Rattus norvegicus: one gene and its partner. Each later gene encodes a partner of the first gene's protein in a complex. Links are inferred from orthologs where the notes say so. Each region holds a gene or a part of one and is shown in the gene's direction. Other genes may lie near its edges.

Region 1 (16,114 bases):
ACCGAGAGATGGAGAGGTGGTGTGGGGCCTGTTCAGACTCCCACAGAGACAGCTAAAATGAAGACCCCTGTGCAGAAGGCACAGCAGCTTAAGGATGAAGACTCTCGTGTTCCTGGCAGAAGAAATTCTGTGAATCTGGATGAAAGTGAAAGTGCCCAGGCAGTTCATAAAATAGTCACTCCTGGGAAACTGGTAACTAGAAATCAAGCTGCAGTAAAAGTTGGACATGTTGCCAGCCCTGCCAATACACCAGAACATTCCTCTTCCAAAAAGAGAAGAAGTATTCCTGCAGACATGGAGGTTCCATGTGCAGAGACACAAAAGCGGCTCTCTTTAACACAGTGCCTTGCTCCAGGTGAAAAGAAAAGTCCCAAGGATTCCTTCAGCAAGCCTGAGAAACTGGGCACAGTGGCCAAACAGACTTGCTCTGGTATAACTGGCCTTAGTTCCATTGATATCAGCAACTGTGGTGATTCCATTAGTAAGTTCTTTGATGTAGATCTATTTTTTTCTACTTTCTGTCTTACGTATTATGAGTTAGTGAGATGTTTGTTTAGTGTGACTAGCTGTGTGCTAAGGAGCCTTGATACAGTAAGAGGCAAGCTTTATCTGATACATGGGCACTGAAGACTTTGCCATTTATAAAGAGGTATAATAGAGGAGGTGCAACTAGTTCAGGGGGGAACCATATCACAGAAACTACCTCAGGAAAAAAAATGGAGTTTTTCTGAATCCCAATTATATCTTATGAGATTGGTTCTTGGAACTAAATCATGGTCAGTCCTTTGAGCCGTCATTGAACATAGTAGCTCATAGGTGTTCAAACTCTGTTCTAAGTCTCTCCTTTTTTGTTTTGTCTGTCTTGTTTTGTTTTTTTGAGGCAGAATTTCTCTATGTAGCAAAGTACTATATGCTTCCAAGGCATTAACAATTTGTTTTTAAATTTTTTATTACATGTACTTATTTTTGTATATGGGGGTAAGGGAACATAAGCCTGTGCCATGGTGCTTATGCAGGAGTCTGAGGACAACTTGTAGGGGCCAGTTCTCTCCTTCCACCATGTGCCATCTTGGTTCCAGGGAATGACCTCAGGTCCTTGGCAGCAATCACCCTTACCTGCCTAACCATCTCACCACCTAGAGAAAGCTTTCTCTTTATTCTCTTTACAAACATGAAGGCTCTTTACAAACCCCCCAAAGCTACATAGTGAGCAGCCTCATGGCATCTTCCTATATACTTGTTTCATGCTGGCTTAAAGAAAGGAAAGATCCCTGGGCTCCAATGCAAATGACCTTTATATCAGGAATAGCTTCTGGTGGTGACCTATTGGTGTGGCTATCTGTCAGTGACACTTGGACCTATCAGCGTCAGCCAGTGTTCAGTTGTGCCTTATAATGGAGTGCCAGTCCTGGACAAGGAGTTCATGTAGACTATTCAGGAAGTTATAGAATGGCTTTGGGTTGCATGAACTTCCTACTAGCATGACCTGAGATATTTTGCCTGCTCATATAGTTTACTCATAAGGCAGATCTGGGTCTGGCCCATGTATGTGTCTTTTATCCAGTTCCCCAGGGCACTGCTCAGGTTCTGTCTTCTCTGCTGGAGAGTAACACTACTGCTGTGGGCAGATGACTTTCTTAAGCTAAGTCACATGCAATTTTTAAGTTTTTAATTTTTAGTTTTAAGGAGAACCTCCATTCTCTCCAGTTGAAGTGCAATGCATCTGGTTTCTCTTGAGATCTTTTAGGAAGTCCTGAGGCTGCTCTGGTTTCAGTTTTATGAATCAAGGTGCCATGTTTCAGTGCCTTTGCAATGCATTACTTTTTCATGCTATTTTGAAATAAATCCTAAGTCCTGGCATAGCGTTTTCATTGCTCTTTTTATCTGTTTGCGTTCCTTACTTCAGACAAGAGTGAGGGAGTGCCTTTGAAGAGAAGACGTGTATCCTTTGGGGGTCATCTAAGACCTGAATTATTTGATGAAAACTTGCCTCCTAATACTCCACTCAAAAGAGGAGAAACACCAACGAAGAGGAAGTCTCTTGGCACTCACAGTCCAGCTGGCCTAAAGAAAATCATCAAGGTTAGTTGGACAGTCAACCCTGTGTTTGTACCTCATATTTCACAGATGGTTCACTTTCTATCCAAAACCAGGCTGAGGTAAAGGGTAATTGAGTTCTTATTTCTCTACTACTTGTCTCATGCCCAGTAACAAGCATATGAGCTCTCAAGTAGTTCTGGGAGGTAAGGCGGGGTACTAGACACTTTCCCTTTAAAGAAGACCCTATAACTCCCTGGGACACACTGGCATTATTTAGAAGAAGCTGAGGGCAACAGCACATGTGACCACAAGGGTTGCTTTGTTTTTTTCCTGGGAGTATAGTGCATTGAGGTTGTGGGGAGGAAAATCTTCGGTAAAACATATCTCTTCTGCACATGTAGCTCCTTAGGCCTTTAGCCCTCTATTACTGTTCTATTGCTTTTCCTTGGTGTGACTGTGTAGCTCAGTTTACTAAAAGGGCCCTGGACAGCTTATTCTTTTAGAACCTAAAAGACTTGGAAGCACACCTAATACCTGCCTTGTCCCACCTCACAAAAGTAGCTTTGCCCATGCAGACCCCCTGGCTGGTATTGGCTGAGCTGAAACCGAGTGCCTTATTTCGCTGAGTAGTGTCCCTGTTTCCACCAGAAATAGACTCCACTGGTTCATATGTCCCCTTCCTCTGCTTAAATGAATGGGGCAACTGATCCCTTTCTTATCCTTGAAAGACAGAGCCACTGGTGCATGATTTAAAAGCTACCTGGTTTGTTGTAAAGGTTTTTAACAGGCATTACAGAGATGTTAACCTCCTTACTCAGGCTTTTCATAAATGATTTCTGCCTTGTCAGGAACGGCCTCCGTCTCCAGGGAAACAAGAGTCTCCTGGAGTAACTCCACCAAGGACAAATGATGAAAGACGAAGATCAGGCAGGACTTCACTTGCTTCCAGCGGAAGCAAATTCTTATATGAGACAGACATTCCCAAGAAAGCAGGCAGGAAGAGTGGCAACCTGCCTGCGAAGAGAGCATCCATCAGCCGAAGTCAGCATGGCATTCTACAGATGATTTGCTCCAAAAGAAGAAGTGGTGCTTCTGAAGCCAACCTGATTGGTTAGTGCTGTATTGGGCAGAAAGAGTTCCAACTCAACTTTCTTATGATGGGTTTTGAAACGTTCACCATCTCTTCCTTTTGACAGTTGCAAAATCATGGGCTGATGTTGTAAAACTTGGCGTGAAACAAACGCAAATGAAAGTTGTGAAACATGTCCCTCAAAAGCAGACAAGAAAAAGACAAAGAAGACCCAGTACTCCAAAGGTATAGAGCTTCAGCCACGCTCTGCTTTTATTTTCAATTGTCTTAGGCATGCGATGTTCATGCTGTGATATTTTGTTTGTCTGCAGAAACCTACAAGCAGCCTTCACGATCAATTTACTACAGGCCATGCAAACTCACCCTGTACCATTGTAATAGGGAGAGCACAGACTGAAAAGGCAAGCATGCCTGCCCGACCCTACAAAATGCTGAACAACTTGATGCTAAACTGGAAAATGGACTTCAGTGAAGATCTGTCAGGTAAATGTAGTTACATTTACGAGAAGGTCTGCAGTCACAGTCTTCTTGATCGTTCTGTTTGTGACTCCATCCCACGCCCCCCTCTTACAACCTTAGAACCCCAGCTGGAGTCCAGTAGCAGTGAGTGACTACAGAATAACCCATTGGGCCAGCAGCTTTCAGGTGTCATAATATTCAAAGATGAAGTTGGTTGGGAGTAGAGGACAGGTCTCAGTCAATTTGGGGGATCTGTGCCCTACAGGAAGCAGGGATGGAAATCTGAAGTGCATAGCCTCTGGTGAGCAGTGTGTGAACAGAAAACGGACAGGTGCATTGTGGTGTGAGGATGATTGGGTGTTATTTTCTTCCCAAGGAGTTGCACTGACGGCTGATCCCAGGGAATAAGTTGGTTTAGAGCAGTAGTAATGCTTTTCCAAGATTCATTTTCTTTCTAGTGAGCTTAACTGCTTGCTGAGAGGAAGCCATGTAAGAAAGGTTTTTCTGAGCTATTGATAAGCTGTTGTCACTGTCTTGAGTATCAGTGAAGGTGTAATTGGCTGGCTTAGACTTACTCTCAGGAAAGCAGATTTGTTTCATGTTCCTCAATATGTGAGTTTCTGGAAGAGAATTACAATTTGAACTGAGTAGGTAAAATCTTACTTTTATTTGTGGCAGATTGGGAATTGAAAATGACCAAATACCTCATGTATAATGCTTGTGAAATTGCCCCTAAAAGAACTACATTTTGGATTAATTTATTTATCTCTATAAAAATAACAAAAGATGAAAACAAAAAATGAATCAAGTGTGTGTATGTGATTATAAATTGAGGATGATATATAAATATATATTGTATTGGATTATATTATATTTCAAAAACTCAAAGATAAATAAGAGTTTAAATACACGGTACATGAGACAGTGACTTGTCTTGAGTGTTCCTTCCTTCATTCATTCTTGGAGTCAGTCAATTCTCTTCTCTTGGTGTAGGCAGCTCCCAACCCCTCAGCCCCCCAACACACACTTTTCTTTTTTTCTTGAGATAGAGTCTTACTATTCAGGTTAACTTAAGACATAAAGAAATCTGCTTGCCTCTACTTTCTTAGGGCTACCATACCTGACCTGGCAGCTTCCATTTTAAAACATTAGAGGGTAAACCCTGACATTTCAAGTAAGCAGTAAGGTCTGGAAGACAAATGAGACTTATTGAACAGGCTAGTGTGGATAGACACTGCAACAGTTCTCAGACCCGTTCTTTAGTGAATGCCAGCTCCAGCTCTCATTCTGTGACGCCAACAAGACAGAAGCATGACACACAAGCCTCCTTTTCAGGAAGCTTAATTAGCCATAAGGAGTCACTACTGCCTTTTTGATAGTAAAGTGAGTAGGGAGGGATGGTACTTAAAGTGTGTGTGCGTGGGAATGTTTGTTCTTGACAGGACTGAAAATGGTCAGTATTTTGCCTGTATTCTAAACTGTAGAAACATATTATATATACCGAGGATTTAGATCTGGTAAACCTAGACTTGCTGAGGGCATAACAAGGCCTGTGGGTCATGGATTCCAGATCATCAATACTCTGAGGTGAGGTACCCATGCCTAACTTTTGTCCCTGTGCTGGGGCTTATTGTTTGGGAACTAGTGTAGAAAACTACAGAGGTCAGCTAAATCGCTGAATTTCCTTTCCCATAGGAGAGGTTTAGAGAAGTGGGCTATACGTGTTTTTTTTGTTTTTTGTTTTTGTTTTGTTTTGTTCTTTTAATTTTAATTTTATGAGCATATTAACAAAAATCATTTTACTGAGATGATGCATCCCTGGAATCTGAAAGCTTCTTTGTCATCTACATTGTTTTATATGAGGAATGAGATAATGTAAGCCATGTTTCCAATGTTTTCTTTTATCAGGACTAACTGAAATGTTCAAGACTCCAGTGAAGGAGAAGCAGCAGCAGATGAGTGACGTGGGCTCCATTCTGTCTGATTCAGAGAATTTGTCTGAAAGACAGTTGCAAGGAACCAACTCAGAAGACACACCCCCACCCACCGCCTCAGAGATTTTGGGTTGGTTCATTTGTCCTTTCCACTGTTAGACTGTGGAATGGAGACTTGAAGATTGCCTTTTTCTTCATGCACAGTACTGAGTTTCTTCTCTACAGTAGCTTTTCCTGGTCAAATGCCATTTCCACCATCTCTGTTCTGTTTTTAAGCAGTCTTTGCAATTTTTCTAAATGTTAATCATTGACCTAGCTTGGTAGGAAATATTATTCACTCAGTTAATAAGTCTGTATGCTATTAGCTTCTTTGCCATAAGGCGATAGAGGTGTAAACAGTACACTTGTCTTGCCATATTTATATATAGATTTCAGTAAAAATTATTGTGAGCATAGAGATGTAAGTCTCGATTGTTACAGTGCTCGCCTGACATGCAGGAAACTCTGGGTTAAGTCTATGCATTGCAAAAACATTGTGTGGTGATATATGGCTTTAATCTCAGAACTTGGGAGGTAGAGGTAGGAGGATCACAAGTTGCTTACATACAGAATTTGATATGGACCATAAATATGCATAGTAGAATCCATTACTTCATTAGTGAATCAAGATAATAAATAACTGTTTCAAATGTTTCAGAACAAAAATTTGCTTGTATTCAGGTCCATGTCACCTGTCTTGACAGGCTTCAGAAGACCCTTAAGGATACTTTACAATGGCTCTTCCCTGTTACCAAATAATATTACATTTAATAGATCATAAATAGTACATGGTTGAGATCATCTAGTAACTCCTTGGTAGAAAAGCTAAATTATTGGTTCTTATATACTTCCAAAAGATAAAATATTAAGCTGGTATTAGGTGGAGAAAATGATAACTTTTTATGTATATATATTTTTGTTTCTTATAGGAGAAAAAGTGCTCCTCAGTACTCAGAATGCAGCAAAGCAGCAATCCAATAAATATTCTGCAAGTTCTACCTTAAGACGGCAGAGCATCAAACATGAAAACACAGTGCAAACTCCTAAGAATGTCCATAACATTACGCAAATTGAGAAGAAGACTCCAGCCTCTGAGACAGAGCCTCTAAAGACAGCATCAAGTATGAGCAAGTTAAGGAGATCTAGAGAGCTCAGACATACCCTTGTCAAAAGTAAGAATGAAAAAACAGAAGCAGTCCTTGCCAAGAGCATCACAGGAAGACATCTACGGAAGACATTTCAAGGACAAGAAGTAGACCAACAAGTGCAGGGCAGTGAAAACTCTTCACAAAGATGCGAGGAAAACAGTAAATTAAGTGAAGATTCAGAAAAGACATCCGCTAGGAGATCAAGTGCCAGGAAGCAGAAACTAACAAAAGACTTAGTAGGAAGTCAGATGGTCACCCAATCAGCAGACTGTGCTGAGGACCTACTTAGTCAAGAACAAGGAACAATACAAAACCTAGAGGAATCCATGTACACGCAAAACACATCAAAAAGTGATCAAGGAGTTGCAAAACAGAAAGTTAACACAGTGGTAGATGCAACCAGAGTGAAGCGCTGGTCAAAGACCCCTGTCAAAATGACACACCCTCTAGAAGGTGCAGCTGATTTCACGGAGCACTTTGAAACACCAGATCTCAAAGATGAACCCATAGGTGATGATGAAACTAAAGTCCTTTGCAAATCCCCACAACCCAAAACAGAGAACCTCAAGGCAAGCGCAAAGCCACGGACCAGCACATCTAGGAGGAAAGTAGATAGGAAGGAAGAACTCTCTGCCGTGACAAAGCTTATACATATGTCAGGGGAAAGTAGGCATACTCCCAAAGTTCTAAAACTTGAGCATGGGGATATCAAAGCTTTGAGGCAATCTGAAAATGAAATGCTGGCTGCAACAGTAACTGGAAGCAAGAGGCCTTTAGAAAAAGCTAAGGAAAAGGCTCAGCCTGTGGAAGACCTGACTGGTTTCGAGGAACTCTTTCTATCACCAGTCCCTGGTGACAAAATCACAAAAATGCCCAGCAAATCTCCACACACAGAATCAGTCAGAACTCCAGCAAGCACAAAGAGACTGTCCACGACAGGTCTCAGTAAGGTGGATGTGAGAGAAGAGCCTGCAACCCTTGGGAAAAGAACAAAGTCATCAGGCAGAGTGACAGGCACACCAGCACCAGCCCAGGAAGATAATGATACCACAACCTTCATGGAAACTCCCAAGCAGAAACTGGATTTCACAGGAAATTCAACTGGACATAAGAGAAGGTCACAAGCATCCAAGAACAGGGCTCAGCCCCTAGAAGACCTGGATGGCTTCCAAGAACTCTTCCAAACACCAGCTGCTGCTAGGACCCCTGTGACTGTTGATGAAAGTGCAAAGGTGTCTCTGGAATCTGTACAACCACAACTAGTCATAACCTCAGCAAGCACAAAGAGACTGTCCAAGACAGGTCTCAGTAAGGTGGATGTGAGAGAAGAGCCTTCGACCCTGGGGAAACGAACAAAGTCATCAGACACAGTGACAGGCACACCGGCACCAGTGCAGGAAGAAAATAACACCATGGCCTTTATGCAAACTCCAAAGCAGAAACTGGATTTCACAGGAAATTCAACTGGACATAAGAGAAGGTCACGAGCATCCAAGAACAGGGCTCAGCCCCTAGAAGACCTGGATGGCTTCCAAGAACTCTTCCAAACACCAGCTGCTGCCAGTGACCCTGTGACTGTTGATGAAAGTGCAAAGGTGTCTCTGGAGTCTGTACAACCACAACTAGTCATAACCCCAGCAAGCACAAAGAGACTGTCCAAGACAGGTCTCAGTAAGGTGGATGTGAGAGAAGAGCCTTCGACCCTGGGGAAACGAACAAAGTCATCAGACACAGTGACAGGTACACCGGCACCAGTGCAGGAAGAAAATAACACCACGGCCTTTATGCAAACTCCAAAGCAGAAACTGGATTTCACAGGAAATTCAACTGGACATAAGAGAAGGTCACGAGCATCCAAGAACAGGGCTCAGCCCCTAGAAGACCTGGATGGCTTCCAAGAACTCTTCCAAACACCAGCTGCTGCCAGTGACCCTGTGACTGTTGATGAAAGTGCAAAGGTGTCTCTGGAATCTGTACAACCACAACTAGTCATAACCCCAGCAAGCACAAAGAGACTGTCCAAGACAGGTCTCAGTAAGGTGGATGTGAGAGAAGAGCCTTCGACCCTGGGGAAACGAACAAAGTCATCAGACACAGTGACAGGCACACCGGCACCAGTGCAGGATGAAAATAACACCACGGCCTTTATGCAAACTCCAAAGCAGAAACTGGATTTCACAGGAAATTCAACTGGACATAAGAGAAGGTCACGAGCATCCAAGAACAGGGCTCAGCCCCTAGAAGACCTGGATGGCTTCCAAGAACTCTTCCAAACACCAGCTGCTGCCAGTGACCCTGTGACTGTTGATGAAAGTGCAAAGGTGTCTCTGGAATCTGTACAACCACAACTAGTCATAACCCCAGCAAGCACAAAGAGACTGTCCAAGACAGGTCTCAGTAAAGTGGATGTGAGAGAAGAGCCTTCGACCCTGGGGAAACGAACAAAGTCATCAGACACAGTGACAGGCACACCGGCACCAGTGCAGGAAGAAAATAACACCATGGCCTTTATGCAAACTCCAAAGCAGAAACTGGATTTCACAGGAAATTCAACTGGACATAAGAGAAGGTCACGAGCATCCAAGAACAGGGCTCAGCCCCTAGAAGACCTGGATGGCTTCCAAGAACTCTTCCAAACACCAGCTGCTGCCAGTGACCCTGTGACTGTTGATGAAAGTGCAAAGGTGTCTCTGGAATCTGTACAACCACAACTAGTCATAACCCCAGCAAGCACAAAGAGACTGTCCAAGACAGGTCTCAGTAAGGTGGATGTGAGAGAAGAGCCTTCGACCCTGGGGAAACGAAGAAAGTCATCAGACACAGTGACAGGCACACCGGCACCAGTGCAGGATGAAAATAACACCATGGCCTTTATGCAAACTCCAAAGCAGAAACTGGATTTCACAGGAAATTCAACTGGACATAAGAGAAGGTCACGAGCATCCAAGAACAGGGCTCAGCCCCTAGAAGACCTGGATGGTTTCCAAGAACTCTTCCAAACACCAGCTGCTGCCAGTGACCCTGTGACTGTTGATGAAAGTGCAAAGGTGTCTCTGGAATCTGTACAACCACAACTAGTCATAACCCCAGCAAGCACAAAGAGACTGTCCAAGACAGGTCTCAGTAAGGTGGATGTGAGAGAAGAGCCTTCGACCCTGGGGAAACGAACAAAGTCATCAGACACAGTGACAGGCACACCGGCACCAGTGCAGGATGAAAATAACACCACGGCCTTTATGCAAACTCCAAAGCAGAAACTGGATTTCACAGGAAATTCAACTGGACATAAGAGAAGGTCACGAGCATCCAAGAACAGGGCTCAGCCCCTAGAAGACCTGGATGGCTTCCAAGAACTCTTCCAAACACCAGCTGCTGCCAGTGACCCTGTGACTGTTGATGAAAGTGCAAAGGTGTCTCTGGAATCTGTACAACCACAACTAGTCATAACCCCAGCAAGCACAAAGAGACTGTCCAAGACAGGTCTCAGTAAAGTGGATGTGAGAGAAGAGCCTTCGACCCTGGGGAAACGAACAAAGTCATCAGGCAGAGTGACAGGCACACCGGCACCAGTGCAGGAAGAAAATAACACCACAACCTTCATGGAAACTCCAAAGCAGAAACTGGAGTCTTTAGGAGATTTAACAGGGCTTAGGAAACAGTCCAGAACACCTAAAGCAAAAGCCCAATATCTAGAGGACATATCTGGTTTTCAGGAGGGTTTCCAGACACCAGACCATGCCAATGGCCCATTAGCAGTTGGCAAAACCAAAAAAATGTCCTTTATTTCTCCACAACCAGGAAGTGCCATAACCCTAAAGAGCATAGAGAGACAGTCTAGGGCAAGTATGAGTAACATGAATGTTAAAGAAGAACTTTTAGAATCAGAGGAACACCTACAATTAGGAGAAGGTATAGACACACTTCAAGTACCTAACAACAACAAAGTCTTTAGGTCATCTAGGAAACCTGCAAAGCGTAAACTGGATCCAACAGCTAGTATGCCTAGCAGTAAGAGGATGAGACGTTCCTCAAAGGATAGCACACCAAGCCTAGAAGACGTGACTGGTTCCCAACAGCTTTGCCAAATGCCAGGCCATGCTAAGGACTCTTTGAACACTGAAGCCTCAACAATGTTTACTAAACCACCACAATCAGGACCAGTTAGAACCCAAAACAACAGAAAGAGTCTGCCCAAGATTAGCCTGAGACAAGTAGATGTGACGGGAGGAATTTCAGTTCTCGGGAAGCAGTCACCTGGCAGAGCCCTCACAGCACCAGTGCAGGCGGATAATGGGATCAAAGCAATTATGGAGACTCCAAAGGAAACACTGGCAACTGCAGCAGATTTAACTGGGTTTACCAGACCACAACAAACACCTAAGGAAAAAGACCAGCCCCTGGAAGATTATGGTGGCTTCCAAGAACTCTTCCAAACACCAGCTGGTGCCAGTGACTCAGTGACTGTTGAGGAAAGTAAAAAGATGCCAGTGGAATCTTTACAACCACAACCAGTCAGAACCCCAGCAAGCACAAAGAGACTGTCCAAGACAGGTCTCAGTAAGGTGGATGTGAGAGAAGAGCCTTCAACACCTGGGAAAAGAACAAAGTCATCAGACACAGTGACAGGCACACCTGCACCAGTGCCGGAAGAAAATGACACCACACCCTTTATGCAAACTCCAAAGCAGAAACTGGAATTCACAGGAAATTCAGCAGGACATAAGAGAAGGTCACGGACACCTAAGACCAGAGCTCAGCCCCTAGAAGACCTGGATGGCTTCCAAGAACTCTTCCAAACACCAGCTGGTGCCAGTGACCCTGTGACTGTTGATGAAAGTACAAAGGTGTCTCTGGAATCTTCACAACCACTACCAGTCATAACCCCAGCAAGCACAAAGAGACTGTCCAAGACACCAGGACAGAACAAGGATTTAGTGACACTGGACAATCTTGCAAAAATGCCAGGCAGTTCTCCACCACCAGAGCCAATAGATACTTCAGTAATCTCAGGTAGACAGCTCAGAACTCGTCTTAGGAACCTTTATGTGAAAAATGAACTGTCAGAAGACGGAATGCATCCAAAAATGTCAGGGGAAATTGTGGACTCATCTAGAGCACCAGGAGGTGAAGAGAAAGTCATTAAAGCAAGGAAGCAATGTGTAAAGCGGAAATTGGACACAGCAGTCAATTTACCTAGCAGCAAGAGGCAAAGAATTGCAGGAGCAGAAGAGCCACAGACCCTAGAGGATCTGCCTGGCTTCCAAGAGCTCTGCCAAGCTCCATGCTTGGTAATGGACTCAGTTATTGTTGACAAAACCACAAAGGTGCCCAGCAAATCTCCAGAACCTGTGGATACAACTTCAGAGATAAAGCCAAGAAGACGACTCAAGAGACTGGGTGTGACTGAAGAGCCCATACCACAAAGAACGACTACAAGAGTGTTAAGGCAAACCAGAAACACACACAAAGAGCCCATAGATAGTAGTAATGGTGTAGATGAGTTTAAGGAGTCTTCGGCACAGAAACAAGACCCAGCCATAAGTTTAACCGGCAGGAGGAATCAACCAAGAAAGGTTAAGGAAAAGACCCAACCCTTGGAAGAGCTGACTAGTTTCCAAGAGGAAATTGCCACAAGAATGTCTTGCAAATCTCCACAACCAGAAGAGAAGAAAACCTTAGTAGGCTTAAAGAAGCAGCTCAGAATACAACTATTCAAAGTGGGTGTGGAAGAGGAGCCCACAGCACAGAGAAAGCAACCAGCCAGGGAAACCAGGAGCAGACTCAAAGAGCCCATGGGTAACAGGATAAATGTTGAAGAGCTTAAGAAGTCTACAGAGCAGAAAATTGACCCAGTAGCAAGTATGACTGTCAGCAAGAGGCCACGGAGGATACCCAAGGAAAAGGCACAGACCGTAGAATTGGCTGGTCTCAAAGGACCAATCCAAACCCTAGGTCACACTGAGGAATCTGCAAGGGATAAAGAACCCACACAGATGCCCTGTAATTCTCTACAACCAGAGCAAGTTGATAGCCTCCAACCCTCACCAAGACGTCCCAGGACAAGACATGGGAAAGTAGAGGCAGACAAGCCTTCAGCAGTAAGGAAGACAGTGCCAACATCAAGGCAAAGTGTGCGATCCCGAAAGGTCACTGAAATTGATGACAATGGTACCAAAGCTTCAAAGGCACCTGTAAAGCAGACATTAGATACAGTAGCCAAAGAAACTGACAGCAAAAGGCAGCTAAGGACACGTAAGAATGGGGTTCAACCTCTTGAAGTCCTGGGTGACTCCAAAGAAATAACACAAATATCAGATCACTCTGAGAAACTAAGACATGACACTAATATTCTTAAGAGCACTCTACAGCAAAAGCCAGACTCAATGAAACCTCTGAGAAAATGCAGAAGAGTGCTGAGGACCTCTAAAGAGGACCCCAAAGAAGTGTTGATGGATACCAGTGACCTTGCAGCATTACAAAGCAAAAGCAACCTTTACCTGTCCCCCCCCAGGAAGTCTGCAAGAGATGGAAGGATTTTGAAAACCAGGACTTTGTGCTCTGTAACCCCAAAGCAGGAAGCAACAGGTGAGAAGCCTGTACATAAGAAACAAAGGGCAGCTTCTACCAAGAGGCAGGTGTCACCTGAGCCGGTGAAGGTGAAACACCTGAGAAGTGTGTCACATAAACGTGAATCTGTGGAGGAGCACATTAGCACCATTATGCAAATAGAAGAAATGGAAGCCAAAAGAGAGAACCCTGTCACTCCAGATCAGGTGATGTGGGGAATATAGTGGGTGCTTGTCGGGAAGGGTGTGTTTGCTGAGGGTATTTGTGTATATTGCTAGGAGTTTGTGCACATATAACTATTCATCTCCTTAAGTTTTATTTTTCACCATTAATAGGCTGTAGCCAGTGATCCTTAGGGATCTGTGCAAGGAATAGACTAACTCCTAAATGTTTTCCTCTCTAAACTAAATGTATCTTTGGTTTGAAGAATGTGTCAGGGAACAGGTGGTCAGTGTAGCTCTGTGTATGTGACAGTATTAAGGACATAGGTTATATATCCTTGAAAAGGAATGAAGTAGGCAGGTTACCATGACACCCCTCAAAGATTGCAGGGCCTTGTACCTTAGTGATCTTTAAAGGACCACTACTGCCTTTATGATGGGCATTCTTCAATAGTATGAACTGGAGTGGTTTTGATATGTATTATGATTGACATCTTGAATTTATAATTTATTAGTAGAAATGATTATTTTTCTGTAGGAACAAAGTAACCAAGGCATTGCCTCGAATATCATAGATGACTCAGTAAATATAAATTTAATATATAAAGTTTGTGGGTTTTTTTTATATTTTTGCTTTTATCTTTTTTTCCTGATGGATCTTTTAGATTTAGCTAATTTTGTGGCTGTCTTCTCATTGCCTTAGAAAATACCCCAGAGCTCTAGGTACCGAAAGAAAACTGAAAAACAGCCAAGCCCCAAGTTTGATGCGTCTGCAGAGAAGGTTGGGATAAAGAAAAATGAGAAAACAATGAAGATCTCCCAGGAGACAGAGCCGCAGAATCCAGATCCTGGAACCAAGAAGTCTTCATCTCTGGGCAAAGTCAGTGGGAAAAGAACATGTTTGAGGTCTAGAGGACAGACGGAGATTCCCCAGCCTCATGAAGCAGAAGAGAAAACAAGAAAATCAGGTGCAGAAATCTCGATAAAGACCCAGCAAGAGAAAGGAGTCTCTGGAGATCCAGATGTTAGGCGTTTGAGATCCAGACAAACTAGAGTCACTTTGGACAATGAACCTAAGCCAAGAGTAACTCGAGGGGCCAAGAAAGATGCAAAAACTCTGAAGAAGGTAAGGGCCCTTGCTGTCTTACATTCTAGAGACCCAGAACATTCTAATATTTGTGCCCAGGTTGCAGAGGCAGAAGGACATACCAGCAGTTCCTGCTATTCTAGTGGGAGAAGCCATCACTCAGGCTCCTGCTTTCTTGTGCTTGTTTGGTAAATCCACTTTGAATAGCAAATTTACCCACTGAAGGTTCCATTCCAGAAGAGCTAGCTATTTTAATGTCATCTTCTGATGTTTGTGATGTGGCTTATTATGGTTATAGATGACATCTTCAGCCTCTTGAGATTGGCAACACTTAACTAAAACAAAAGTGGGCATGTCAGGACCTCAAAAGATTTCCTTTTAAATGGCTGAATGAGTTCGTTCAGCAGTTGAGAACACTGACTGCTCTTTCAGAGGAGCCAGGTATGATTCCTAAGACTCACATAGCTGCCAACTATCTGTAACTCCAGTTCTAGGGGATCTGATCTTCTCTTCTGACCTCCTTAAGCACCAAGCAGGCATGTGTCCATACATAGGTGAAGGCAAAAAAATAAAAATAAATAAAGGAATAAATCGGATTTTAAAAAATAAATAAAAAGGCAGAATAAACCCAGCGTTGTCTGTCTCCTAACCAAATAAAAGGAAGTAGGTAAAGTCTGCTCAGTAGAAAGTGTGCTGGCTCAGCACCCTAAGCTCACACACTATCTAAGCTGGTAGATTGTAAATGCTCATGTGCTGCCTGTGCTTGCACCCTCCCAATGGCAGGCTTACATTAATCAGTAGTCTAGGAAAAGTTAAAGATGAGCTAGGCAGTTACCTTTGTGGGAACGACACATAATTGCTCTTGGCACTCAAGTTGAACCTGAACATACTCTGAACGTTCCGAGACAGCTGATGAGATAGGGGTAGTGACAGCCACTCAAGACAGAGGTGTGCTGAGCTGGCAGTCCTAACCACTTCTAGAATAAACCAAGAAACAACTGACAGTGCAAGGAGACCCAGGCCTCCCAGAGGCCACAAAACATCCCACATGGCTGAGGGATGGAGCAAGAGGCATGAAAGTCTAGTGAAGAGGTGCAGATAGAATGAGCAATGGTTCTCAACCTTCCTACCCTCTTTAATTCAGTTCTTCATGTTGTGGTGTCCCCAGTCATAAAATTATTTTCTTGCTACTTGATCACTAACTTTGCTACTGTTATGAATCATATTGTAAATATCTGATATTCATGATATATGTGACCCCTGTGAAAAGATTGTTTGACAACCCCACAAAGAGGCTGAGAACCACTGCTCTAGAGGATTGAAGAGAGGCTCAGGAAAGTAGATCAATACCTAAGACGTGGAGAGGGGCTGTCTAGAAGCAGAAACTCTCATGGTAGTAGGCTTTCTTATAGATACCAAGACACATCAGCCTCACAGGCTTAACAAGTATATCTTATGTTCCCTCAGAACGCTAAGCCCAGATTCATAATCCTGAAAAGTAGTACTTTATCAGAATAAAATGGAAGGAGTAAAATCCAGGTTCTTATACTCAAATGATCCTGAACACAACAGCCAAGCCTTGAGGGTGA
Region 2 (16,114 bases), on another chromosome or scaffold:
AAGACTGAACCCCCAGTGAACGTGAATGTTGGGAGGAGGGTGGTAATGGGGGGAGGATGGGGAGGAGAAGCCCATATAAAATGGGAGGGAGAGGGTTTAGGGGGATGTTGGCCAGGAAACCGGGAAGGGGAATAACAATCGAAATGTAAATAAGAAATACTCAATTAATAAAGATTAAAAAAAAGTAAGTGCCAGGCCAGCCAAGGCTACATAATGAGACCTTTTCTCAAAGCAACATAAGTATTGTTTTATGTGTATGAGTATTTTGCCTGAATACATGCAAGTATGCTACATATGTGACTGGTGCCGGAGAATGCCAAAAAACAACAGATCTCCTGAAACTGAAGTTACAGACAGTTTTAAGCTGATACATGGATGTTGGAAATCAAACCTGTGTCTTCTGAAAGAGCAGCAAACACTTTTAGCCACTGAGCCATCTCTCCAGTTGACATAGCCAATTGTACATCGTATCTTCTAGAAATAAGAGAAAACACTTTCCATTTTTTTCTATTCTGTGTATGAGGGTCTGTGAATCAGACCAATATAAGATAAATGTCAACAGAACAGAAAATCAGAAAAGGAATTGAAGAACTTGATGACATAATCAAGTCGCAGGCCCTAGGCCAGGGATACAGCTCTAGAGGTAGAAGGCTCTCCTAGAATGTGAGTCGTTGGATTTGACTTCAGTACAACATGAACCAGATGTAATGGTTTCAATTAGAATGCCCCCCCTAGGGTGATATATTTGAGTACGTGGTTCCTAGTTGGTGGAAACTTTGGGAAGAGTTAGGAGGTGGAACCTTGTTGGAGGACATGTTTCACTATGGGAAGGCTTTGAGGTTTCAAAAGCCTATGCCATTACCAGATAGCTTTCTGTCTTCCTACTACTTGTGGATTAGGACATATGCTCTCAGCCACTACTACAGTGCCCTGCCCACCTGCCTGCCTACCCCCATGCTCCCTGCCATGAGTGTCATGGGCTCACTCTCTGAAATGTAAGCTCTAAATAAACTCTTCCTTCTACAAATTGCCTTACTCGTGATGTCATCCCAGTAATAGAAAACTAAGGTAGATGAGTTGAGCATGCGAGAACGTGGGAGGTAGAGGCTTTAATGTTTGCAGAAGATGGGCTCTCTCAGCTCCCAAGCTTCCTGCTACTGTTTGCTCCCATGACTTCTCTGCTCTCCTGCATTCTTCCTCTGGAACTATATACCAAAATAAACTCCTTTCCCTATAATGTCCATTGATCGTGGTGCTTTATCACAGCTGCAGGAAAGTAACTGATACACTTAGGAAGAGGGAACTTCAGTTAAGGAGTTGCCTCCATCAGATTGTCCTTGGGAGTTATGTTTTGGGGCCATTTTCCTGGTTGCTGGTTGACATAGGAGGGCCCAGCCCACTGTGGATGCTAACATCCTTTGACAGATGGCCTGGTTTATATAAGACAAGTGGTTGAGTATGAGCCTGGGAACAAGCCAATAAGCAATGGTCCTTCATGGGTTCTACTTCAGTTCTTGCCTTTGGATTTTAACCTATAAGACAAAATCTTGTTTCTCACTCAGGTTAGTTTTGGTTTGTTTTATCATAGCAACAGAAAGAAAACTAGTACAGCCTCAGAGGAGAGCTTGCTGGAGTTGGTTCTCACTTTGTACCATTTGGGTTCCATGGTCCAATTCAGCAGTACTTAACAGCAGTAGCCTTTACCCTCTGAGCCACCTTGCCATTGCCCTCCCCCTTTTGTGGAAACTGAGAAGGCCTCATACATTGCTGGCTGTCTAGGTGCTGCTTACTCAGAGTTTGAAATAGAAGCCAGAGCTTCAAAACAGGCATGTAAGCTCTGTACCGAGGCTGTACCTCCAGCCCCTCTTACAGTGTTCTCAATGTCATGATATTCCCCAAAGGGATTTAAGGAAGCCACATCTCCTCAGAACTTGCTCTCTTAGATAAAGACCTTTTTGTATCCCCTGAGTCTCAAAAATGTTTGGCTTAAAATAATCTTCAGACCAGGTCATTAAGATGGCTTGACAAGTAAAGGCACTTACCACCAGCCCCGAGTCCCCAGAACCGATACCGGGGAAGGAAAGAACTAACTATTGCAAGTCATCTTTTGACCTAGACACATGTGATACAGGGCAAAGGTGCACACACCCATACTCATTGACAGGCGTACACACAAAATCAATCAATCAATTAATCTATAAGTAAATAAACAAATGGAGAAGACAGAAAGACAGTTTTTAAATATTTATTTATTCCATGTATATGAGTACACTGTAGCTGTCTTCAGATACACCAGAAGAGGGCGTCAGATCACACTACAGATGGTTGTGAGCCACCATGTAGTTGCTGGGAATTGAACTGAGGACCTCTGAAAGAGCAGCCAGTGCTCTTAACCACTGAGCCATTGCTACATCCCAAGACAATTATTTCAACATAAGAAAGTCTTCAAACTTCTTTTTTTGTGTGTGTGTTTTCTCAAAATTCCTATTGTGTTATCTAAAGAAACCTACTAGGGAGCTGAAGAGATGGCTCTGTGGTTAAGAGCCAAAGGACCCTGGCTCACAGTCCTTAAGTCCATGTTCTGATACCCTCTTCTGTCCTCGGCACACACATTACACATATAGGGTACACATACAGACAGGCAAAACACTTATCACATAAAAATAAAATAAATAGGGACTGAACAAGTAGTTCACAGTTAAAAATATTTTCTACTATTCCAGAGGACTTGAGTTCAGTTCCCAGTACACTGGGCATCTCACAACAGCCTGTAATTCCAGGTTCAGGAGATCCCACACCATTATTCTCTATGGTCACCTGAATTCCTGAACACATAAAGACACATGTATAATATCAAAAATACAAATATATGTTGCACTATGTTGTGGAGATTTCCATGGTGAGGACTGGTGGAATTTCAAGTCCTGAACCTGAGGGAACTCAGGGACTGGTGGAACTTTTTTCTTGTATGCCAGAGTCTGGTCACTCTCCCACTTCTGGGCGGTTAGAAATCGTTAGGGATGTTAGGGAAAGAGGGGGACATGTGGAGATTTGGGGAGGCTGGCCATTGAAGCTCCTCAGGCAGGGGCCTGACCACTTTCCTGCTTGAGTGTTTACAAAGTTTACAAAAGGAGTCCATGGCAGGAAGACTTTCCCTATTGCTTGTAGGCCTGACTAGCCAACAGACATGGATAATGTTTGGGACTTGTAAATTTGTTTTGAGTCCATGGAGCCCAGGCCGTGGTCGAACTATGCATATGAGAACCGCTTTGAACTCCTGATCCTCCTGCCTCCACCTCCCAAATTCTAGGATTACAGGCGTGGGGCTCCAGTCATGGTTTATGCAGAGCTGGGCAAGCACTTCACCAACATTAGCCTCCGAATAATTTTTAATCCGTCTTAGAAAGTCTTTTAGATTGTGGTCAATAGGTGGCGCTCGAGGTCGTCCAATTCCAAACACCAGGGCTTGCTCTTCTTGCTACACTCCCGCCTCTGCTTCCGCTTCCGAGTAGTGAAAAGAACGTCACTTCCGGAGGTTCCGCGTGGATTAACTTGTTCGTGCTTCTCCAGTATGGCCGAGTATTCAGGCCCTGCGAAGCCGACTCTGGCGTTGAACCCGCGGGAGGACTCGCAGTTTGAGAAGGATCTGACGCAAATACAACGGCGCGCGAAAAAGGTGAGCGGCGGGGCTCTCTGGCCGCGCTGACTCGGGAGCCCACCTCTCACGGGCTCTGGAGACTGAGGCAGGCAGGGAATCGGTGTGAGGTTTGACCCTTTAGGCCCTCAGGGCTCACGTGAAAAAGGAGGTGTACCACGTGTGGGGAGCATGGCACCTCCAATTCCCAAAATATGTTAAAGCTGTCACATTTCCGCTTTGGCCCGCAAAATGGGGGTTCAGAATGAACCACAGCATTTGGAAGGTATGTATGTCCCCTTACGTTGTAGTGCTTAGTAGACGGAACAGACAAATCCAGGTCCTTGGACGAGCGGGGAAGCAGGAGGATCGAGAGTCAGAAAACAGCTCGGGCTCAGTATTCAGACCAGAGCTTCGCCAAAGAAAATAGGGATTACAGCCTGCCAAGCTCTGTTCCCAGACTGCCCCGAAAGGAAGTTTATATCCCCTTTGGTTTTCAGCATGAGGTGCACTGGAGAGAAAGGAAGATTTTCTTTCTTGTTTTGCTGTTGTCCTGGCGGGGGTGTCTTTTGTGCGGGTTGTTTTTGTTACAGTGTCTTTGTAGAGTTTTTGTAGCACAAAATTGCATCACATTTGCCGTGCAGTCTAGTCCTTGAACCATATATCCACTGGGATTACAGGTGTAGGTCACTATAGGTCACCCAGTACCCTACCTGATGGGAAACAAGTTCTTGTTCTCTAAGGTGGTGACAGAAGTATAGTCTTCACTGTGAAGGTTAATCGGAAATGATTCGATGTAATAAGCTGCCATCTGAGTTCAGAGTTGAAGGTCTTGGATTCGGAGTGACAATGACAGACTTTCACTTGATTGTCCATTAAGGAACACATGTGCCGACTGCTTTGTAGGGACAGGTGGGTGTGCATGCACACCACGGCACACATAAGTCTGTCTCTGCAGAGTCTGTGGCTCTGTGTGATTGAACTCAAGCCTCAGGTTTGCACAGCGGTGCTTAAGAAAAGAGATACAGACACCTAGTTTTTCAGTTTCTGCTGTGATAGAGAAATGTTCCCGGACCAAGAGGAATGAAGGGTGTTGAAAATTTTGTTGCAGGCCAGGTAAGGTTACATTTACCTTCAGTCCAGTGCTGGAGAGACAGAGGCAGGCAAAGCTCTACCTATCCTCTGAAAGGACTTTAGAAAGCTGGGGGGTGGTGGCACACACCTTTACTCCAGCACTCAGGAGGCAGAAGCAGGTGGGTCTGTGTGAGTTTGAGTCTGGCCTGGTCTACAAAGCTAACTCCAGGACAACTAGGGCTACACAAAGAAACCCTGTCTCAAAAAAGGGAAAAAAGACTTTAGAATTAAATTTTTCTGAAGTTAAGGAATGGTAACATACCTTTGTTGAAAAATAAAGTCCTTTGCAGAGAGCATAGTAATGCCTTTACTCTTAGTATTCATGAATTAGAGGCCAGCCTGGTCTACATAGTGAGTTTCAGGCCAGCCAAGGCTCCATAATGAGACCCAGGTCAGAAAAAAATGTGTATATACAATGTTTTGGTGCAGTGTGAATTTTTTAAAATGTTTATCTGTTTTGTCCTCAGCAGAAGAAGGAAGAAAAACTTAACTCTGGAGTAGTTTATCTGGGGCACCTACCTTCAACGCTCTCTGAAAGCCACATCTATGACTACTGTGCCCAGTTTGGCGATATTAGAAGATTCAGATTGTCCAGAAGTAAGCGGGTAAGATTCTGTACCTGAATTCAACTATGTTTATTTTGCTTGTCAATTGTACGGCCTCCTTTGTATTCATAGGCAAAACTTTGTTACCTACAAAGTTCCTACTTGGGAACTCTTCACAAGCGAAGCAGCATGGTGGCTCATACCGTTCGTCCCGGCACTTGGGAGACAGATAGGTAGACCACTGAGTTTGAAGCCAGTCACAGCTACATAATGTGGATTTCTATCTCAATAAAGAGAGAAAAATAATGAGGCTGTGGAGATAGCCCAGTTTGTAACTGTCCATCTACAGAACCCAGGTCAAAAGCCAGATATGGTCACATACATGTGTAATCCCAGTGCTAGGAAAGTGGGAATGGGGTTCCTGGGGCGCACTGACTAGCCAGCTCAGCCCAGCTCCAGCCCAGTGACAGGGTGACTGAGACCTGGGGAAATGGCCCAATGGTAAGAGCACTCGCGCTCTAAACAGGAAGTAGAACACACACACACGCACCTTTTCCTCAAGCACCAACTGAAAGGCCAAGTGAGCCCAGTACTGGGAGCTGGAGCCTGGATTGTAGAACTTGCTCCCAGCCAGTTTAGCCAAAACAGAAGTGGCAGGTCAGTTTTTTGGTTTTGGTTTTTGGTGGGTTTTTTTTTGTTTTGTTTTTTGTGAATTTGCTTTTACTGGGGCTTAAATCATGCGGTGGGATTTGTCTGTGGTACCACACCAGCTTCTTAAGGCCTGTTGCCCACTGGTTCCTCCCTGGAAGAGAATTTCCAACTCTTGGGGTTTCTGCTGGTTGCCTTTCCTAGTTCTCTGAACAATCCTTTCCCTTGGGAGACTTGTGCTGCCCCACCTGTCTCTACCTCCCTCCTTGGAAACAAGGTGTTGTTTTGTCTGAGTCTTCCATTTCCTGAGGAGGCTCCTGAGCTTTGGCTCTTGGTGGGTTGAGTTTCGTGGATCCCTTCTGGAATGTACCTGCTGTCTCCTGCAGGTGCCCTGGCTAATACAGCCAGCAGCTTTTTTTCCTTTGTCAAGTGTTTGTCCAGCTTCCTGATAATCTTAGCAGCCACTGCCTCTGCCTGAGTCATAGCTGCTAAATTCTGTAGACTCCACAGTCTCACGGAATGGCTACTCCTCACTTGCTCCAGAGGCCTCTCCCCAAATAACATCTATGGGCCCCTCTAAGAAATAATTGATTCTTGATGTACTGCTGCATTTATTTAACAGCTACCAGGAGATGTAGCCTTTGTTCACCGCTCAACTAGTGAAGGTACAGTGAGCAATGAATCCATATTTGCTCCAGAAACATGGTTCCACTTCCAGAGCCTAGAAGTGGCTCAGATACTAGGATGAGCCATCACTCCCATGACAGAGGCCATGTGTTTCAACAGGTTTTTAGATTTATATCCTGTAAGCACCTTTAAAGTGTTTGGGTTTCGTTTGGTTGGTTTGAGATGGAGATTAACTGTGGAACTCTGGCTGTTCCAGTCTTGCTACACAGACTAGGCTAGCCTTGAACTTGTAATTATCCTACCTCTGCTTCCCACATATTAGGATTATAGGCATTCACCACCATGCCCAACTCAAAGGGAATTTTATTATTTATGTGTATGGGTGTTCTGCCCGTCTGTGTATTTGTACACTACATGCATGCCTAGTATCTGCAGAAGCCAGAAAGGAGGACATCAGAGCTTCTGAAATAGGGGATTTCAGCTGCCATGTGGGTGCTGGGAGTTGAACCCAGGTCAAATGTTTTTTTTTTTTTTTCATCTTTATTAACTTGGGTATTTCTTATTTACATTTTGAATGTTTTTCCCTTTCTCGGTTTCCGGGCCAACATCCCCCTAGTCCCTCCCCCTCCCCTTCTATATGGAGGAGGTTCCATCCTCCTCCCATTACCACCCTCCCTCCAACAATCAAATTAACTGGGGATTCAGTCTTGGCAGGACCAAGGGCTTCCCCTTCCACTGGTGCTCATACTAGGCTATTCATTGCTACCTATGAGGTTGGAGCCCAGGGTCAGTCCATGTATAGTCTTTGGGTAGTAGCTTAGTCCCTGGAAGCTCTGGTTGCTTGGCATTGTTGTTCATATGGGGTCTCGAGCCCCTTCAAGTTCTTTCAGTCCTCTCTCTGATCCCTTCAACAAGGGTCCCGTTCTCAGTTCAGTGGTTTGCTGCTGACATTCGCCTATATATTTGCTGTATTCTGGCTATGTCTCTCAGGAGAGATCTACATCCGGCTCCTGTCGGTCTGCACTTCTTTGCTTCATCCATCTTGTCTAATTGGGTGGCTGTATATGTATGGGCCACATGTGGGGCAGGCTCTGAATGGGTGTTCCTTCTGCCTCTGTTCTAAACTTTGCCTCCCTATTCCTTGAATGCTCTTAATTAGCCACTTAACTGCTCTTTTGTGGGTTTTCTGTTTCAGACTGGAAACAGCAGAGGCTTTGCCTTTGTGGAGTTTGAGTCTGAGGATGTTGCCAAGATAGTTGCAGAAACAATGGATAACTACCTTTTTGGTGAAAGGCTTCTATCATGTAAGTACTCTGACCTTTCCTGCACTGTGATTGGATTAGGAAGTTACCTGTGGGGTTGTATTCAGGAAGAGAAGCAGACCGATCTTTAACGGGTGTTTGGGAATAACTTTGCTCAAATTGGAAACTGATGGGGTTAAAGCCCAGTGTAAGTGTCACATGCCTTTAATCCTGGGAGGCACAGGCAGGCTGATCTCTCTAAGTTCAAGGACATCCGTGGCTGTGTAGAGGCTTTATGTCAAAAAATGGAAAAGAAAACGGACGGTTAGATAGTCATGAGCCAATAAAGGGACAGCAGTGCAGCCTGAGTTCATTTCTTACCAAATGTTAGGGAACTCAACTGGGAGAGATAGATGGGCTATAGGTCAGATTCTTGACACCCGTAAAACTAAGAAGTTAATGTGAGGCCTGTTAGTGGAGTCTATACAGGGCAAGACCAAGAGTAAAGAATCACATTTCAAGATCAGACTCATCAACGATGGGTGCAGCGCTGGCTGTCAGCCCAGCTCCAGGCTCAGTGAGAGGCTGTTTGAAGGAAGTAAAACCAAGAGTGAGAGGGTAGAAGACTACAAGGAGCCCTCCTTGTTCTGCACAGATGACTCACCCACAGATAGGCATATAAATTGTTCCCACAGAGATCGGTAAGTAGAGCCCTGTGAACCTTGTGCCCCATCACTGAAACCTGTGGCATCACCATCCAGATCTCTGCCTTGGAAGGTAGACCTAAGTGCCCAGCCTGCCTACACCCATGGTAGCATGTGCCCTGCCTGGGACCAGTTTACAGGCATACAGCCTCCTGTTGGGAGAAAGTGGCTGGACAGAAACCTGAGGGCATAGGTGCTCTGCTTTATCTGGTTTGAGGAAAATACCAGAAAGACTCTGGATTTTACTGAGTTTTTTTTACTACAAATCTTTGCCCCGTCCAGGGTAGAGAGGGCTTATGTGGGACTGGGAGTCTAGTTTAGCTGGTAGAGTACTGGCCCAGCGTTCACAAGGCCATACAGGCACATACACTGCATCTGATGGCACTCACCTTTAGTGCCTGTATTTGAGCGGTGGAAGCTGGAGGACCTGAAGTTCACGTTCATTGCAGGCAACTTCAAGGCCAGCTTAGGCTGTGTGAGAGCCTGTGTTAAAAAGAAAAAAAAAGAAAGAAGAGGGCAGAGAGGTGGGCCACCAGGTAAAGCTGCTTGATGTGGAAGTGTGATAGTCTGATCCCTAGATCCCACATCAAAGTAGGAGAGAACCAACCCCCAGAGTTGTGCACTACCTCCACAGGCATCAGGGTATGTGAACCTACACACATGCACACTCATAGACAGTAATCATTGTTTGATGCTTAAAGGTTATTTCTGTCAAGTAGTTAGTTCATATCACAAGAAATAGCTATCTGGGAAATACAAAATTAAAAGAACCTTTCCTCTTTGTTTGTTTTATAGGTAAATTTATGCCACGAGAAAAAGTTCATAAAGACCTTTTTAACCAGTGCAATGTTCCGTTTCATCCGCCATCATTTCCAGCAGTGAAACGCTATAATCAGAAACGAGGACATTTGCAGATGTTAAAGATGGAATATCGGTTTAAGAAGAAGGAAAAATTACTCAGGAAGAAACTAGCTAAGAAGGGTATTGATTATAGTTTTCCTTCACTGGTAAATATCCTTTTCTAGTTTTCTTGGTGGTTTGTCTTACAGGGATGAGCTTCCTGCCTCACTGGTTGTAACTTGTGTCTGTGATTATACAGAATCTGCTTCTCACACTAGGTTTTTGGTTTGGTTTGTACATGTGGCTCTTTTGGTTGATGGGTAACCAGGCTGGAGCCTGCCCATGCGAGGCAAGTAGTCTGTTGCTTTTAATGTTTCTGGTACTGAGGATGGAACCCAGGACACTGAGCCTGCATCATCCATCCCTCCCACCCTCAAACTCTAGCCCCGTTTAGAGAAAAGATCTGGCTGAGTTGCATGGACAGGTTTGAGCAGTTTGTAGCTCAGGCAAGCCTTCAGAGACCCTCTTGCCTCTGTATCTTGGGATCCTGAGTAGATAGATGAACTTGCTTATACTAGTGGCTGCTCCTGTTGTTGTATTAAGAAGACTGGGTCTCTCATTCAAGCTGCCATCAAACTTGTTATGCTGCCAAGAATGGCATAGAATTTCTGGTCTTCCTGTCTCTGCTTTCTAAGTGCTGGGATTACAGGCATACATAATGATTCCAGGTTCGTGCAGTCCTGGAGGTATAACCCAGAGCTTTAGGTATTTTACTTTGTATGAACTACATTCCCAGGCCCCTGCCAGCTTTTTTTCCCCCAGTATAATTTCCTGTCTGTGTACCAAGTGGTTGCCAGGTATCCTTGGAGACCAGAAAAGAGTGTTGGATACCATAAAACTAGCTCACAGATAGTTGCAAGTCACCATCTGGGTGCTGGGAATTGAATCTGCGTCCTGAGAGAATGGTCAGTGCTCATAATTGTTGAACAATCTCTCTAGTCCCTAGCTTTTTTTTTTAAACCAAGGTCTTGCTCCATGGTCTAGGCTCCCCCAAATTGCAGGCTTTTCTGCCTCAACTTTCCAAGTACTGTTTATAAGCATGCACTACTCACCCTGGTTACTTACATTCAAACCATTTGGCAATTGGACACTGATACTTAAAATGGGAATTCAGCTACCACATATGCATATAGCTGATAAATATGCAAATTGTTTATTTGCAGGTCCTTCCTAAGCCAAAGAAAGAGATTTCAAGCATTGCTAACACTCATGGGGATTCTGAGGCTAACCAGGTAAGATAATCTGGATAATGGGCACTGGTTACTATAGAAATACTTTCAGGAGTGTTGGCAAGACTTGGAACAAAGACACTTGCCAGCAAGCCTGGCTACCTAGTTCAGACACTGGATCTCACATTGTTGAAGGAAAGAGCTGACTCCTAAAAATTGTCCTCCGAGCTACACACAACACACACACACACAACACACACACACAGACTAATCAAAAAAACTTTTTTTAAGGTAAAAAAGTAATTTCCACTACTTCACGTTTTGTTAAAGACTTCATATAGTTGGTGGGTGTTTGGGGGTTTATTGGGGCACTTTTTTGAGATCTAGTAATTGATCTTGAAATCTTGAATATAGCCCAAGGGAGCCCCAATGTTACACAGTAAGCCCCCAACTAAAGTGTTCTGAAGATGAACCTCCCATCCTCCTGCTGTAACTTTAGGCTAGAACTGGTCTCTTGCATTGTGAGAGAGTATCTTTTTTTTTTAATTATTTATTTATGTATATGAGTACACTGTCGCTGTCTTCGGACACACTGGAGGAGGACATCAGATCTCACTACAGATGGTGGTGAGCCATCATGTGGTTGCTGAGAATTAAATTCAGGTCCTCTAGAAGAGCAGTCAATGCTCTTAACTGTTGAGCCATCTCTCCAGCCGCAGCATTGTGATTTTTAAAACCCTAAAATTGTGTAGAAGCTGAGTCAGTGAGAAAGAGCACTTGCTACAGAAATATGAGGACCTGAGTTCAAATCCTAGAATCCACATAATGTCAGATTCATGCTTTAGAAGAGGGGAAACATGGACATGTGACACTTGCTGGCCACCAGTCTAGCTTCAGGTTCAGGGAGAGACTTTGTCCAAGGGAAATAAAGATTTATAAGGTAGGATACCCAGTGTCCTTTTGGCCCAAGCAGGTTTGCATACACACATTTGTGAGCCATGTGGGTGCTAGAAATTGATCCTAGGTCCTCTGGAAGAGCAGCCGGTGCCAAACCATCTCTCCAGCCCCCTGATCTTCATTATCTTGTCAGTTTAGCTAAGATGTTCTTCATGTTCTTTCAAGCTGGAAATAGTCATAATAATCAAAATCAGAATGAAGCAGGTGAGCATGGGGCTTGTGATTGTGTATAGGTTAGATTTCAGCAACCCCAGGAGCAAGAAGTGAATTAGCAGAGGCGTTTCTCTGGTGCTGAGTCCCTTGCTAGTCAGGAAACAAGATAAGGAAGCCTTGCTGGACTTGGCCCTCTGTCTGCGACATTAAGGAGTCCCAGGTGTCTTTCACGAGGGTTGACAAAGGTTTCCTTAACTGACTCTTAGAATGTCTTCTGTCCTCCATAGAACCTGTCAGCTTTTTCCCCACATAACTGTAATTAGGTGGCATCGATTTCCAAGCTTTATTGTGCCTTCCTCAGAAGCTAGGTATCTGTTGCTTCTTTGCCCCAATCTCAAGTGCAGAAGCATTGTGTCAAAACTTGAGGACACGCTGTGGTGTGCTCCTAGCTGAGATAGGCGTGCACCATGCCATCTGGGCATAGCACAGCCTTTCTTTACCCTGTTAACATGAGCAAGAAGAGTAAGAGGTCTAGGAGGAAGCAGTCGTCATCTGTGGACAGCCAGGTGAGCATGTCCTTGTATGCTGGGAATCAGTTGCTATAGACATAATTTGAAGGAGGAAAAGCAGTCTTCCCTTGTGTCGAGGGAAAATAAGAACAAGCTGAAAACAGATCATGGTATACCTAAAACTAGGGGGGTAGAGGTGTCGGGTGTTCGCTCCTGGTAAAGGCTAAGAAGGTGATGGACACTAGGGTGGTAGTGATTCTCAGTGGTTGTCCTGCTGCCTGTGCCCAGTCCTGGACTGTAGTGTATTTGTTGCTTTCAGGATCCCACGCCAGTTTGTACACCAACGTTTTTGGAAAGACGGAAATCACAGTTGATGGAAATCAATGACGATGATGAAATCATTTTGAAACTGCCTGTGTCACCAGTGAAAGAAGACACACAAAAGACTCCAGCACCTGAAAGCTCTGGGAAAAAAAGACTGAGAAAAAGGAAGAGCAAGCAGTGATCCTGACAGCGTTCTATGCACTTAGTTCTAGTCATATATGATCTCGTTGTGTTTTGCTAAGTGTGGTGACATGCAAACATGGACAGGACTGTTGGAGTAAGAATACATGTTTGATTTTCCAGTGAGGAAAGCCACCAGGGAACTGGCTGTTTTGCCCTTTCCTGTCCTGAATTTGTCTTCAGGCTTCGTGGCTCCCTTAAGTTTACTATCCTTATGAAACTCAGGCTTAACTACCCCCAGGAGTCTTTATGGCTGCTGGGTGCTGTTTGGACTGTATGTGGTTGTGTATATAAAAAAAACCCAAAAAAGTGTGTCCGGCTTCAACCTCAGGCATCTGAAACTGTAAGTTAAATCCAGAGAGTGAGAGGGCAGTCCAGGTGCTGAGGAGGAATCTGAAATGACTTGTTCTCACCCACAGTTAATTGCAGCTAAGCTAGTGTGTAGGTTTCACAAATCGGCTTCAGCGGTTGTATTGAAGATTCAACGGTGACCAAACTTTTCTGCAGTTTGTGTACAAGAGAACCTAAGAGCTTGTGGGGATAATTCTAAAAAAGTCTCCATCTTTCTATGCTTTTGTTTTGCTAATTTGGGTTTGTTGAATATACCTATCAATCACCATTAAGCATCCTTTTTGTCCAGTTGTGGGTGTGAGTGTAAATGCTGGGTGTGCACATACACACACCTGAAGAGAAAATCAAGTGTCTTCTATCCCTCTGCCCCTTAATCACTTGAGATAGGACTCTGGTTGGACAGTATTTCTTTATATTGTCCTGACTATTCTGGAACTCACTCTGTCAGACTAGTCTGATAGACTCAAGAGAGATCTACTTACCACTGCTTCCCAACTGCTGAGATTAAAGCTGTGTGCTGCCACCAGCTGGCTTGAGATAGGTCTGTCTGTCTGTGTCTGTGTCTGTGTCTGTCTGTCTGTCTCTCTCTCTCTCTCTCTCTCTCTCTCTCTCTAAGATTTATTATATATGAGTACACTGTAGCTGTCTTCAGACACACCAGAAGGCATCAGATCTCATTACAGATGGCTGTGAGCCACCATGTGGTTGCTGGGATTTGAACTCGGGACCTCTGGAAGAGCAGTCAGTGCTCTTAACCACTGAACCATCTCTCTCCAGCCTGAGATAGGGCTCTTAATGAACCTGATTTGAGGCCATAAGACATAGCACCTTGGTAGCCTGGCAGTGAGCTCAGGGCCTGGGTAAGTGAGAGCCTTTCCCGTTCACTAGCAGGGACTTCACTTTAGATTTAGTTACAGCCTAGTTTCCTGATGTTTTAAGCTAATGAATATAACTTAGAATCAGGTCAGAACGCCACAGCCTAAATGCCTCTGACATCTTTTGTATGTGTAAGGCAGATTATTTCTTTAATCACATTACCTTATGGTTATGTTTCTGATGTCAGGAGAGGAAAGAACACACACAGACCGTGGCACATGTCTGGAAATCAGAAGACCATTTTGAAATGGTCTCCCAGAGCAGGCCAGCAAGCCTGAGATCTCTTCTCTATGGAGAAAACCACACCAAGCCTGTTTGTTTGTTTTTTTGTTTTTTTCCTTTTTTTAAAAAAAAATTTATTCATTTATGTATAAGTACACTGTAGCTGTCTTCAGACACCAGAAGAGGGCATCGGATCTCTTTACAGATGGTTGTGAGCCACCATGTGGTTGCTGGGAATTGAACTCAGGACCTCTGGAAGAGCAGTCAGGTGCTCTTAACCACTGAGCCATCTCTCCAGCCCGTTTTTTTTCCTTTTTTACATAGGTTCTGAAGTCCAAACTTAGGACCTCACACTTGTGACAAATACTTTCCTGTGTCATCTTTACGGCCCCATTTTTTAACTTGTTGAGACAGTCTTGTGTATTCCAGGCACACAACGTAGACCCTCCTGACCCTCCTCTGGGTCTATGCCACCCTGCCTGACATCTTCCCTGCTCCCTTACTGGGGGTTGAACCTAAGTCCTGTGTGCTCTACGACTGAGCCATGTCCTCAACCCTATAAAGTAGTTTTTTGGTAACTAACATTTGACTGAAAGTAATGGTGATGTTTTTTATGTACTTGCGATGTCCTCTGGCCTCAGCACATGGACATCTGCAGTCATTGAGGTCATGTTTAAGGACTGACATCTATACTTGACTACAGCCAGAAACATCTGACTGGACTACACATGGACAGGCCAGTGTTTGCCAGTGATTTGGATACTGGGAGCTACTCTCACATTTGCAAAAACTGAACCGAGCATTTCCACTGAACCAAGGAAAGCCGGACAGGTGGCTCAGGCATAGGCTTGGTTCCCAGCACCCACACGACAGCTCACGATTGCCAGTGACTCCAGTTCCAGGGGATCCAAGGGCATGAGACACCAGTGTGTGCAGGTAAGTCCCACAGTGTCACTGTTGACGGTAACATCATGTCCCTTTGTCATCACAGTGCTGCATTGTGCAATCACATTAGACCATTATGCCATCATCACATTCATCTGACAGAGCATTTTGATGTTACAGGTCAATTGAGATAATAATGCAAGGTTCCATTGTGTCATCGTGTGTCATTGTGATGCTGCAGGGCTCTGTTGTGATAATGACTGTTCCATAGATGCCAGAATGTCCCCTAATGACATGGTGCTCCATGTATGCCACTGTGACGTCACAGCTGAGTTATATTAAATGCTCCATTGTGTCATTACCACGTGACTGGCACGTCACAGTGCAGCATATGACACCATACTGAATTGTGTTGTAAAGCAGTACTTTGACATAGCAAACCCATGCTGTTTGCTTGTGATGTCACAATCTTCCAGTACTATGTTGAAATGATTCATTGTGACCAGAAACTGAATTTTGGTCAGTCTGCTGGGCATGATGACACATTGGTAATTTCCCAATAGTGGAGGTAGGAAAATAGAGAGTTTTGAGGGCAGCCTGGGTTATACAGTAGACTCTGTTTCAAAATGAAACAGGAAGGTAAGGGAGAGATTAGCTCTGTGGTGTGCTTGTTTAGTATGCTTGAGTCCCTGGGGTATACTCCCAGCACTGGCCATGGTGGTACACAATGGAGGCAGGAAGATTTGAAGTTCAAGGCTGTCCGACTTAATTAGGCTGGCCTGTATGAAGGACTTGGGTTCCCATTCAACCAATCAGGTTCTTGCACGATAAAGAAATATTTAGCTAATCATGCTCTTCCATGATAAGTATGTGATTGGTCCGGAGATGGCTCGATAGTTAAGAGCACTGATTGCTCCTTCAGAGGTCCTGAGTTCAATTCCCAGCAACCACATGATGACTCACAACCATCTGTAATAGGATCCGATGTGCCCTTCTGGTGTGTCTGAAGACAGTTACAGTATACTCAGATAAATAAAAATAAATCTTTTTTAAAA

What was found.
Region 2: the proteins of Mki67 (region 1) and Nifk are in contact, whole or in part, in an NMR structure (PDB 2AFF), measured with the Homo sapiens proteins. The link is inferred for Rattus norvegicus from reciprocal best matches to the Homo sapiens genes MKI67 and NIFK. Residues at the interface, in NP_002408.3 of Homo sapiens: Thr9, Ile10, Lys11, Arg12, Ser13, Pro18, His19, Phe20, Pro21, Ser23, Leu24, Arg31, Gly32, Ile33, Glu34, Cys35, Asp36, Ile37, Arg38, Ile39, Gln40, Leu41, Pro42, Val43, Val44, Ser45, Lys46, Thr66, Asn67, Ile91; in NP_115766.3 of Homo sapiens: Val228, Asp229, Ser230, Gln231, Gly232, Pro233, Thr234, Pro235, Val236, Cys237, Phe241, Leu242, Arg245, Gln248, Val249, Leu252, Asp256, Lys257, Asp259, Glu260, Ile261, Val262, Phe263, Lys264, Gln265, Pro266, Ile267.

The regions. Positions count from the first base shown.
Region 1 is NC_086019.1:199,927,565-199,943,678, reverse strand, and holds part of Mki67 (proliferation marker protein Ki-67), read left to right. Parts: coding exon 1-481; intron 482-1,906; coding exon 1,907-2,082; intron 2,083-2,888; coding exon 2,889-3,150; intron 3,151-3,236; coding exon 3,237-3,355; intron 3,356-3,441; coding exon 3,442-3,613; intron 3,614-5,497; coding exon 5,498-5,653; intron 5,654-6,491; coding exon 6,492-10,511; coding exon of another isoform or gene 10,512-10,865; coding exon 10,866-13,483; intron 13,484-14,141; coding exon of another isoform or gene 14,142-14,153; coding exon 14,154-14,564; intron 14,565-16,114. UniProt on the Homo sapiens protein: Protein that associates with the surface of mitotic chromosomes and acts both as a chromosome repellent during early mitosis and chromosome attractant during late mitosis.
Region 2 is NC_086031.1:31,942,607-31,958,720, forward strand, and holds Nifk (MKI67 FHA domain-interacting nucleolar phosphoprotein), read left to right. Parts: upstream 1-3,539; 5' UTR 3,540-3,571; coding exon 3,572-3,676; intron 3,677-5,235; coding exon of another isoform or gene 5,236-5,238; coding exon 5,239-5,373; intron 5,374-7,783; coding exon 7,784-7,892; intron 7,893-9,328; coding exon 9,329-9,540; intron 9,541-10,596; coding exon 10,597-10,665; intron 10,666-12,540; coding exon 12,541-12,726; 3' UTR 12,727-13,344; downstream 13,345-16,114.